2 linked regions of the Drosophila melanogaster genome follow. The protein of the gene in region 1 interacts with the protein of each later gene in a pairwise test. Each region holds a gene or a part of one and is shown in the gene's direction. Other genes may lie near its edges.

Region 1 (4,451 bases):
CATATAGAGATGTAGTTACATAGATGTTGTTTTAATTCGTTTAAAACAGTGACATGATGTCCCCAGAAAGTAATAAAATGATTGCGTTTAATGGTTGGCTAAGTAAGATTAATCAAAAGGAAAAGAGGATGCCCTTTTTTTGATTAACAACTTAATTGTAAGGTTTATTACATATAATAAAAGCATAAAAAATAACACAAACTTTGGAGAAAGAGAAAATATAAATGTAGACGAGAAGACTGAACTTTTTACTTATCCTACGGCAGATCGACAATGTACCTAAAACAAGATTAGTTGGAAATGCACAAGTAACAAGTCTTACACAAGAGATTAACAGCTGCCAATCCATAATATTATCCTAAGTGTTCTAAGTTTAAAAAGCGGCACATTTTCTCACAGCGCTGAAACGATTTCTCAACGAAAAGATGTCTAATCCTCATCTGAAAAGGCGCGAAGAAAATAGGTCAGCAATGTCGAAAGGGAAATGCAAATCACATAATGCTACGCACCAGAAAGATAAAAGTTTATGATGCACATGGTCGCAAAGCCGGCGAGCACAGTTGCAAACTGTGCAAATCCCGCCCAGCGTCGCGTTGAGTTCGAGTGCCAGCGCGCCTTCTCGCGCGGTATCACCTCGCAGACGGTGACGTAGAAGAGTGTGCCTCCGGCCAGAGCTTGGACGATAGGCAGAGTTTTGCTGGACCAAGCGGCGGGCACGTCCACGATAAGCATGCCCAGGCCAATGCCAATGACGGCGCCCAGGGCAAACACCGAAATGCCGACGAACTGGGCGCGAAAACTCGTCTGCGGATTCGAGCGGAACTCGAGCCCCAGACAAAAGCCCATCACGAACTTGTGGCAGGCGACGGCCCCTAGAAGAAACAGAACCTACGACGAGACAAAGCAGATTCCGGTTATCTAATTGGACTAAGCCCTCGCATCTCTTTGCTTCAATATTTGCCTAAGATTGCGCACTATAGCCGATCTAGTCTAACTATGTCAAGGCAGGCGGCACAGACCTTTGTGGAAGAGTTCTGAACGCCGATGGCGAGTCCTTCGATGGCCGAGTGCAGTGACAGGGCGACAAAGAGACCCAGAGTGCCTGTCATGGATTGGGCGCAGGGTTCCGTGTGGCTGGTGTGGCAGATGCGGGCGTTGGCGTCCTCTACACTGGCATCATTACAGCCAGATGCGCTGGCCGGGTGATTGTGGTCATGATCGCTGCGTAATCGAAGCACAAAGCAATTAGTTTTGGCTGCGGGAAGGGAAATGCAATAAACCTACTGGCTATGATGGTGCGAATGCCCATGTGACGTATTGGGTTCCGCTGATAAAAGGGGCGCTCGTTCGTCCACTGCGCCATAACCATTGTCATTAGTGGGACGTCTTGGTGGCTCGGTTGCTGGAGTCTCTGCATCGTGGGCATGAGTGTGCTGAATGGCCTCGCCAAAGAAGTAGTGTATGAACTCGTCGATAAAGTAGATGATGAAGAACCCGCCGCACATGGCAACCTCAGCGAATTTCGAGTCCATTTGTTCGCGCACCTGTTGCATGCGTAAGTCAGCAGGTTATCAAATTGCAGCCACACACACGATCGCAGTCCAAGCTCTTACCTCGGGCAGAATGTGCACCAGTGCGGTGGCTAGCAGAATGCCCGCTCCGAAGCACAGGAGCAGGGATGCGGTCAGCGGGAAGCGGCGACGATTCCGTTCCGATATAAAGGCGGGCAGCAATCCGAACAAAAGACTCCCGAGTCCGAGGACCAGCATAGCCAGCACTTTTTCCAAGTCGCCGCGACTCGTGGCAGCCAGGGTGGGGCTTGGGGTGATCTCCATGTTTAGACCGTCGGTTGGCAAGCTCATTGTATCAACTGCCAGACTGTGTCATCAAGAAGGGGGCCAGTAAAACACACAAAAGTTCGTTGCATTTACTATTTTTAAACTAAACAGTTGCGAAGTGTGTGCAGCTGCTTTCGTGCGAAATACCAAAACGCCTTACAATGGGGGGGCCACAGAAAAGTAAGGCATTTCAGCAGTGCGCCTTTCAGATCACACTCATTTAAACGGTTTTTTTTTTTTTTAATTTTATTTAAACATTTAAATCTAGAACTATTCTTTTACCAACCACCACCATTAAGAATTTCAATAAAAGAAGGTAGGCACCCTCTCCAATTATAGTTTTGCACTTCGACAAATGCTCCTGTAGTTAAAATTCAAAATTTTACCGTTTCCGTCCTGGTTGTCCGTTGGAAAATGCATCGTCGTTGTATAATCTGTGGCCAGGAGCCGGGCGAGCAGTGCGTCTACCCGCGCAACATGTCGGAGGCTCGCCGGTGGCAGAACTTGGCCAACCTCAGCAGTTTTGACGTCGACCCCGAATCGCTATGCCGGCACGGATGCGTTTGCGCCTCCCATTTGGATGGCCACGGATCAGGTTCGGAATCGGAGAGCTCGTCTCGTGCTGCTGGCAGGGCAAGGACTCAAGCTGGCCTGCAGGAATGGAGCAGGTGGAGCTCTTCGGCATCGGACGCTGGCCATGGCTATTCCATCAGCAAAAAGACTAACGAGCGGATCCAGAACCAAAGCAAACAGAGTCTCGGCTCGGAGAGGCAGGAATTCAGCAGCGCGAACAGATGTACGAATGGTTGCTGTCGTTTTCGAAACACCTGCAACAGCATGTTCCAGGGCAATACATACACCCAAATGGGACAGAAGTATCCCAATCCACAAACAAGGGCCACAAACTTAGAGAACAAAAATAATCCACCTATGAAATTAAGCCCAAGGGTAAATAAACCGACCTTTGGAGCTGTAAACTGCACCTGTGATGGATGCACCTGTAGTTTCTGTCCAGTGCAAGGGATCAAAAAAGCGGTAGCCCCTCTAGAAGAGGATTCAGGCAGCCAACAAAGTATAAATAAAGAGTATAAAGAAAGAAAGGATAATTCCAAAGGCAGCCCAAAAAAACAGAGTTCCTGTGAACGTCTCACTTGTCCAGCTTTCAGGACAACGGACATAAAAACTGTAGCAGATGATTTCCGCAGTAGCCCGAACTACCCGGTATCGCCAACTTCACGAGGTAACAACAAAATTAAAAGTTCGATGAACCAGCAGAATACGAAGAAAAAGCCGGAGCTGAAGAGCGAATGCTGCCAGACGTGCATCACCCAGCAATTGAAGGATCAGGAAGTGCAGTGCTCAACGGTGACGCTGCAGACTCAGAGCTCTTCGCCTGTTAGGCGAACCAAGATGACCGGCTCGTTCAGCCATCAAACTGGAAGCTCAGCGACAGGTTTATCTGGCGGATACACCAATAATTCGAATAACTTTACTTGTGGCGGCGGCGAGAGAAGAACTTCAAATGCAATCAACGTGCTGCTTATGAACGGCACCCGGAATAATGACTATGAAGATGGGTGCTGCTCTCCGGCGAAGCAACGTCCCATGGCGCCGCCTCCAGAGATTTGCGTTCAAGAGTCCGATCTGACCGAAAATGATGAGCGAGCTGTGTTCCCGGAAATCGACAAGCCCAATTACAGAGTTTGTCGATCCTCGAACGAGACCAATGTTCTGGTCCTGGAGGAGAGTCCTTTGAATGATTGCAGCCCCAACCCAGGGCAGGATGCGAGTACACTAGATAGCAAGACGAAGAGTAATTTTGATGCTCAACAAAACGCCAACGATAATAAAGAGCAACATAATAGTTTTCTAATCAACTGGCTTGAGTCCCCGGCCACGAGTAACTTCACCAAGGTTCTGGAACTGCAGAGATCTCGCATCAAGGAGCTGGAGAATCTGCTGGAGCAGCACAGCCTTCTGCAGCAGACAATCCAGCACAAGGTTGCGGAGCTGCAGTGCACAGATATACCGGATCCTAAAAATATATCTAAATCATAAACCAAATCTAGTGCGCATATCTCTGAATAAATTTTGTTGGTTTTCAAAGGGTGAAGAGTGTTTTATTCGCTATTACCGCTTGAATTCCAATACCAAACTTTCAGTTTGACCATCTAAATCAAGAGCAAATCCTTAAGAGTCTAGGCAGCGGTCTGGATGACATCGGTGTAGAGCTTGACCTTAGTGGCAATGCTCATGTCGACGTACTTGTCGCCAATGGAAACGATCAGGCCACCAATGATGCTGGGGTCCACGCGGGAAGTGATCTTCAGAGACTCGTTGCCCTTCAGGAAAGACTGCAAAGCAAATGAGCAATAAATTGAGTGGGTGAGACAAGACAGAAGCTAGGCGTAGCTACCTTAAGGGCACCCTCCAGCTGCTTGCTCTGGGACGCATCCAAGGGCTTGGCGGTGACCACCTCGCAGACGACCTCACCGCGATGTGCGGCCATGATGGTCTTGTAGGCATTGATCACGGTGTCCAGCTTCTTTAGACGTCCGTTGTCAGCCAGCAGACCCAACAGATTGACGGTGGCCGGGGCGAAGCGGAGCTTCT
Region 2 (4,020 bases), on another chromosome or scaffold:
AGCGTGGAATGCTGGCGACAGCGATTATATGAACGAGCAGATTAAGTCCCTTTAGGCACTTTGCCGTCGTCGTCCCGTGGTCTAGCCCAATCTATTCGCCATTGGTCATCTGGCCAGCGGGTAGGAGGGAGATTCACAGAATTGGGGGAGTGTAGGCTTCCCAGGTAAAAGTGGTTACAGTATGTTTTGTCAGAGATTTTTCCCGTTGATATTCCCGCTTTTTATTTACACGTAGAGTAAAATTGTATTCTAGATTCGTTGTAGCATTTTAGACCCTATGACGTTTATATATACATACATACATATACATACCTTCCTCAGGATCACTAGCCCAGATCTGAGCATGTCCCTTTGTCCGTATGAAAGCAGTTTTTTAATTTAATTTAGTTTTTTGTATTGTCAATTTCTATCCAATTCAATTTCTAGCCAAACAAATTTTGCACCGCCCTAATTTGCCCATACTTATAAAACATAATTCTGAATTTTATTTATTGATTTATGTTATCATAATGGGTATTGGATAGTCGAGTTTCTTGTATATAACGTTCTCCCTTCCTTCTATTTGTTTTTTTTACTTGGCTTTTGACCCAATGCCTTGGACCTTGTTCTTATTTTTTGTTTGCCCTAGACTCGTTGGCGTCGACTTTTAGGTTGTTGCACTTTGGTACCACAGTTATCAAAATTTCGATTGCTCTATTTTATTGCTGTATTTTATTTTGACCGATACAACTGCAGGATAGCCCATGTGTAAACAATCAGCAAACCATTTGTTATATTCCTGCAGTGAATGAAGATTAATTTCAGTCATAAAAAAAGAAAGGGAAGGCTACCGGAGAGGTGCTAAATAACTCCGCTCTCTGAGATAAATTATGCGCAATTTCTCCTCTGCAAACTTATTCAGCACCTTAAAGCTTAAGTACTCCAAACTAAGCTTTCGCGGCTTAAAGCTAAAAATCTTTATTTTATGATAAAAAGCTCAATTTTATGAGCATGTACTTTTTTACGTTTTTAACATGCCGTTTTTTTTTTTAAGAAGGACTTGGACATCTGTATAAGGCAACATATCCATGTGAATTTACAAGGAGAAAACGATTCAGTCGATCTTGTCGGCTTACAGATACGTGTTACTACTCCGCTAGAGGAAGTGCGTTGGAGTTGGATATATGTAGATAACATATCGATAGATTTACAAAATTAAATTTTCAAATGTGTCGGCGTGGCAGTTTTGGGGGGTTTGGGGGCCTTAGAGTGGGCGTGGTAATATTTCAACAAACTTGCGCTGGTTCTGTCTCTAGAATATGTATGCTTAATATAAACCTTCCAGCTTTTATAATTCCTGAGATGTCGACGTTATACGGCCGGACAGACGGACAGTGCCAGATCGACTGGGCTATTGATACTGATCAAGAATATATAAACTTTATATGGTCGGAAACGCTTCTTTCTACTTGTTACATACATTTTCAACGAATCTAGTATACTCTTTTAGTCTGCAAGTAACGGGTATAAGAAGTATAATTTGAACTGTATAAAGGTTAAACTGTATGTAGGTTAAAGTACTTATGCGGTAAATGAATCTTATTTCTAGTACTTATCTAATCATCCCACATTAAAGCAACTGATTAAATAATACCATTGAAGATTGCACACATTTGTATATAGAGAGTGGGAGAGAGCGATATCTTCCTCCATATGGGTATCCTAAACCTGCCGACTCACGTTTGCCGGCATGACAGGTTGGGTTACCCCATTAGCTGAGAATTTCTTTTTGATGAAGCAATAATCGAAGGAGTGTTTTCTTTTGGATTCGTATTCGTTTGATACCGCTGTGAGCCATAAAATGTAACCCATTAGGTTAGTATGGTTGCGATTATAATGGTGGTGTCATCATCATTTAGCCAAAAACCTGAGATTTATTCCACTGGTCCATTCATAAAAGGCCATCATTTGAAGCTTAGATAATGTTTAATTAATAAATACGCGTTTTTCGTATTTCAATGGTACTTTTATCGTATCAGATATTTTTTTTAATATTTCCATATTTTTCTTCTTCCAGCAGATAAAGGAAAGTAGTAGATTTAGTTGTCCCTTAAGTTGTGATACAACGATAATTGAATAAAATAAGAACTGGCAATTATATATGCATTAAGCTGTTTACGAGCACCAAACGTAGCCTACTCTGGGTTGGTTTATTAAATAGAATGGCTTTCTTACTTTTTTTTAGATCACGTTGCTTTGCTGAAACTGTCAGTATTTGGACTTGGCTATCACCAGCCATATGGCAAAACATCAGAAGTAAAATTGTCTGTGAACACACAAAGCACACGAAAAAATCTCGGAAAAAAAACTGTACAAAATTTAACTTCGCTCTCGACCAGATTTACAAAATTTTTTTTTTGGCCAAACTTAAAATTAGGAATACAAGAGAACGGTGTGTGTACCAAAATCAAATCGTGTTTAGCTAGTTGGTGAGTCTTATTGGAAGCTCGGCATATTCCGAATATTACTGAAATTTTTTCCCCATTTCCGAATTGCATTTGGTTTCACATGACATACGCACACAATTGGAAGTCGTAATTCTATATGTGTGGGACAGTGTTTACTGAGTATTTGGTTGGGGTTAACTTAAGAATTAATATTTTTTTTTTTTAAATGCGTATTTCAGACGTCAGGATATATGCTACTTTGATTCGTTAACTATTTTCAAGTGATCGGAAGCAAACGCAGAGGCATTTCTAATTTGTGCGTTGCGCGACTTTCAGAGATCGTAGACTCGATTAACCATGGGTAAAAAGGGCAAAGGAAAGAAGGGCAAGAAGCCCGCCGCAGTTGTGGCTCCCATCGAAGCGCCACCATGTCCTCCGTGTCCGGAACCACCAAAGCAGATGCAACCACTTGACGCTTGTCCAGAGTCTAGCGGACCCCACGATGTCCTTCGGGCTCAACCGAATCATTACCCGGCTCTTCTTCGTATTCCGGAAACAATGGCGGTGGTGGGCTCTGAGAATGGATGCTACGATAGCATTTGCAAGCTCCTGAGAGCCGGATTCCGGTGTGCCGAGCGGGTTTTCGTGATGGCCCCTTGGGGCAACTACGTGGTTTTCCGGTATCACAACAATAATGACTTTATTTACTTCCTGTTTGATGGATGCACCTGCGATGTTAATAGGTTCCGCTATCTAGACCTCAGCTGCGGAACTGCTGGATTTCTTTTCTTCGATAATATGCACGACGTTATTAGTTATATTATCCAGTCTCGAAAGACGCGTCTATATCTGGAGAATCTAAACAAGATTGCCATTGATCAGATTGTGGAGGAGTATGGCGCTGTAACGTACACCCAAAAGGCAAAATGCATGCGATTCGCTTAAATAGGTCCCATATGATTTCTAACAAAAGAGGGCAACGCATACACAACGAGGATAATACTGGACGACAAGCTTTGCTCTAAACATTTAACATATTTTGGCACAATCTTTATCAATAAATAATAATCTCTTTGAAAGCAACTAAAACAAATTTGCATAGCTCTAATACCAATAGCGGTGATAGCGATATACCAAAGCGTTTATTTTGCATGTCGAAGTTAATCCTTTTGTAGAGTTTTGCTGGGAAAGTTGAGGTTAGCGTACGATCAAAAGAAGTTAAATAACAATAGTCGACATAAATTATTGCAATATTACTGTGGATAAAATACAAATCGTAAATATAATATCAAAAATTAGAGACTTACAGGGTGTGAGAATTTTGTCAATTAGAGTACAGATTCCAAGTCGATTAGCGTTCGATTAATTCCATTCATTTGAGTGGTATGGAAATTATGCATGTGCATCATTTTGCTAATATTCGGCTCAAAAGAATGAAGCGGAGGATTCCAGCTTAACGTGCACAACAAATCCCTCAAATTATTATTGCTTGCTACAAAATGAAAAAAGAAGAAACCCAATAGAAACAAGGTGAACCTTCCAAGTAAGGGGTCAATTTTTGGAGGCCCATGGATTGCGAAAACCGCAAAGCATT

What was found.
Region 2: the proteins of CG14864 (region 1) and CG12470 interact in a two-hybrid assay, tested with the Drosophila melanogaster proteins (2 studies listed by BioGRID).

What each region holds. Positions count from the first base shown.
Region 1 is NT_033777.3:15,266,174-15,270,624, reverse strand, and holds CG14864 (uncharacterized protein), read left to right. Parts: upstream 1-2,195; 5' UTR 2,196-2,252; coding exon 2,253-3,896; 3' UTR 3,897-3,941; downstream 3,942-4,451. Other genes in the region: Zip88E (Zinc/iron regulated transporter-related protein 88E), read right to left, coding at 430-440, 510-888, 1,020-1,221, 1,285-1,544, 1,614-1,862; ATPsynO (ATP synthase, oligomycin sensitivity conferring protein), read right to left, coding at 4,037-4,192, 4,255-4,451.
Region 2 is NC_004354.4:305,425-309,444, forward strand, and holds CG12470 (uncharacterized protein), read left to right. Parts: upstream 1-2,259; 5' UTR 2,260-2,468; intron 2,469-2,665; 5' UTR 2,666-2,783; coding exon 2,784-3,371; 3' UTR 3,372-3,511; downstream 3,512-4,020.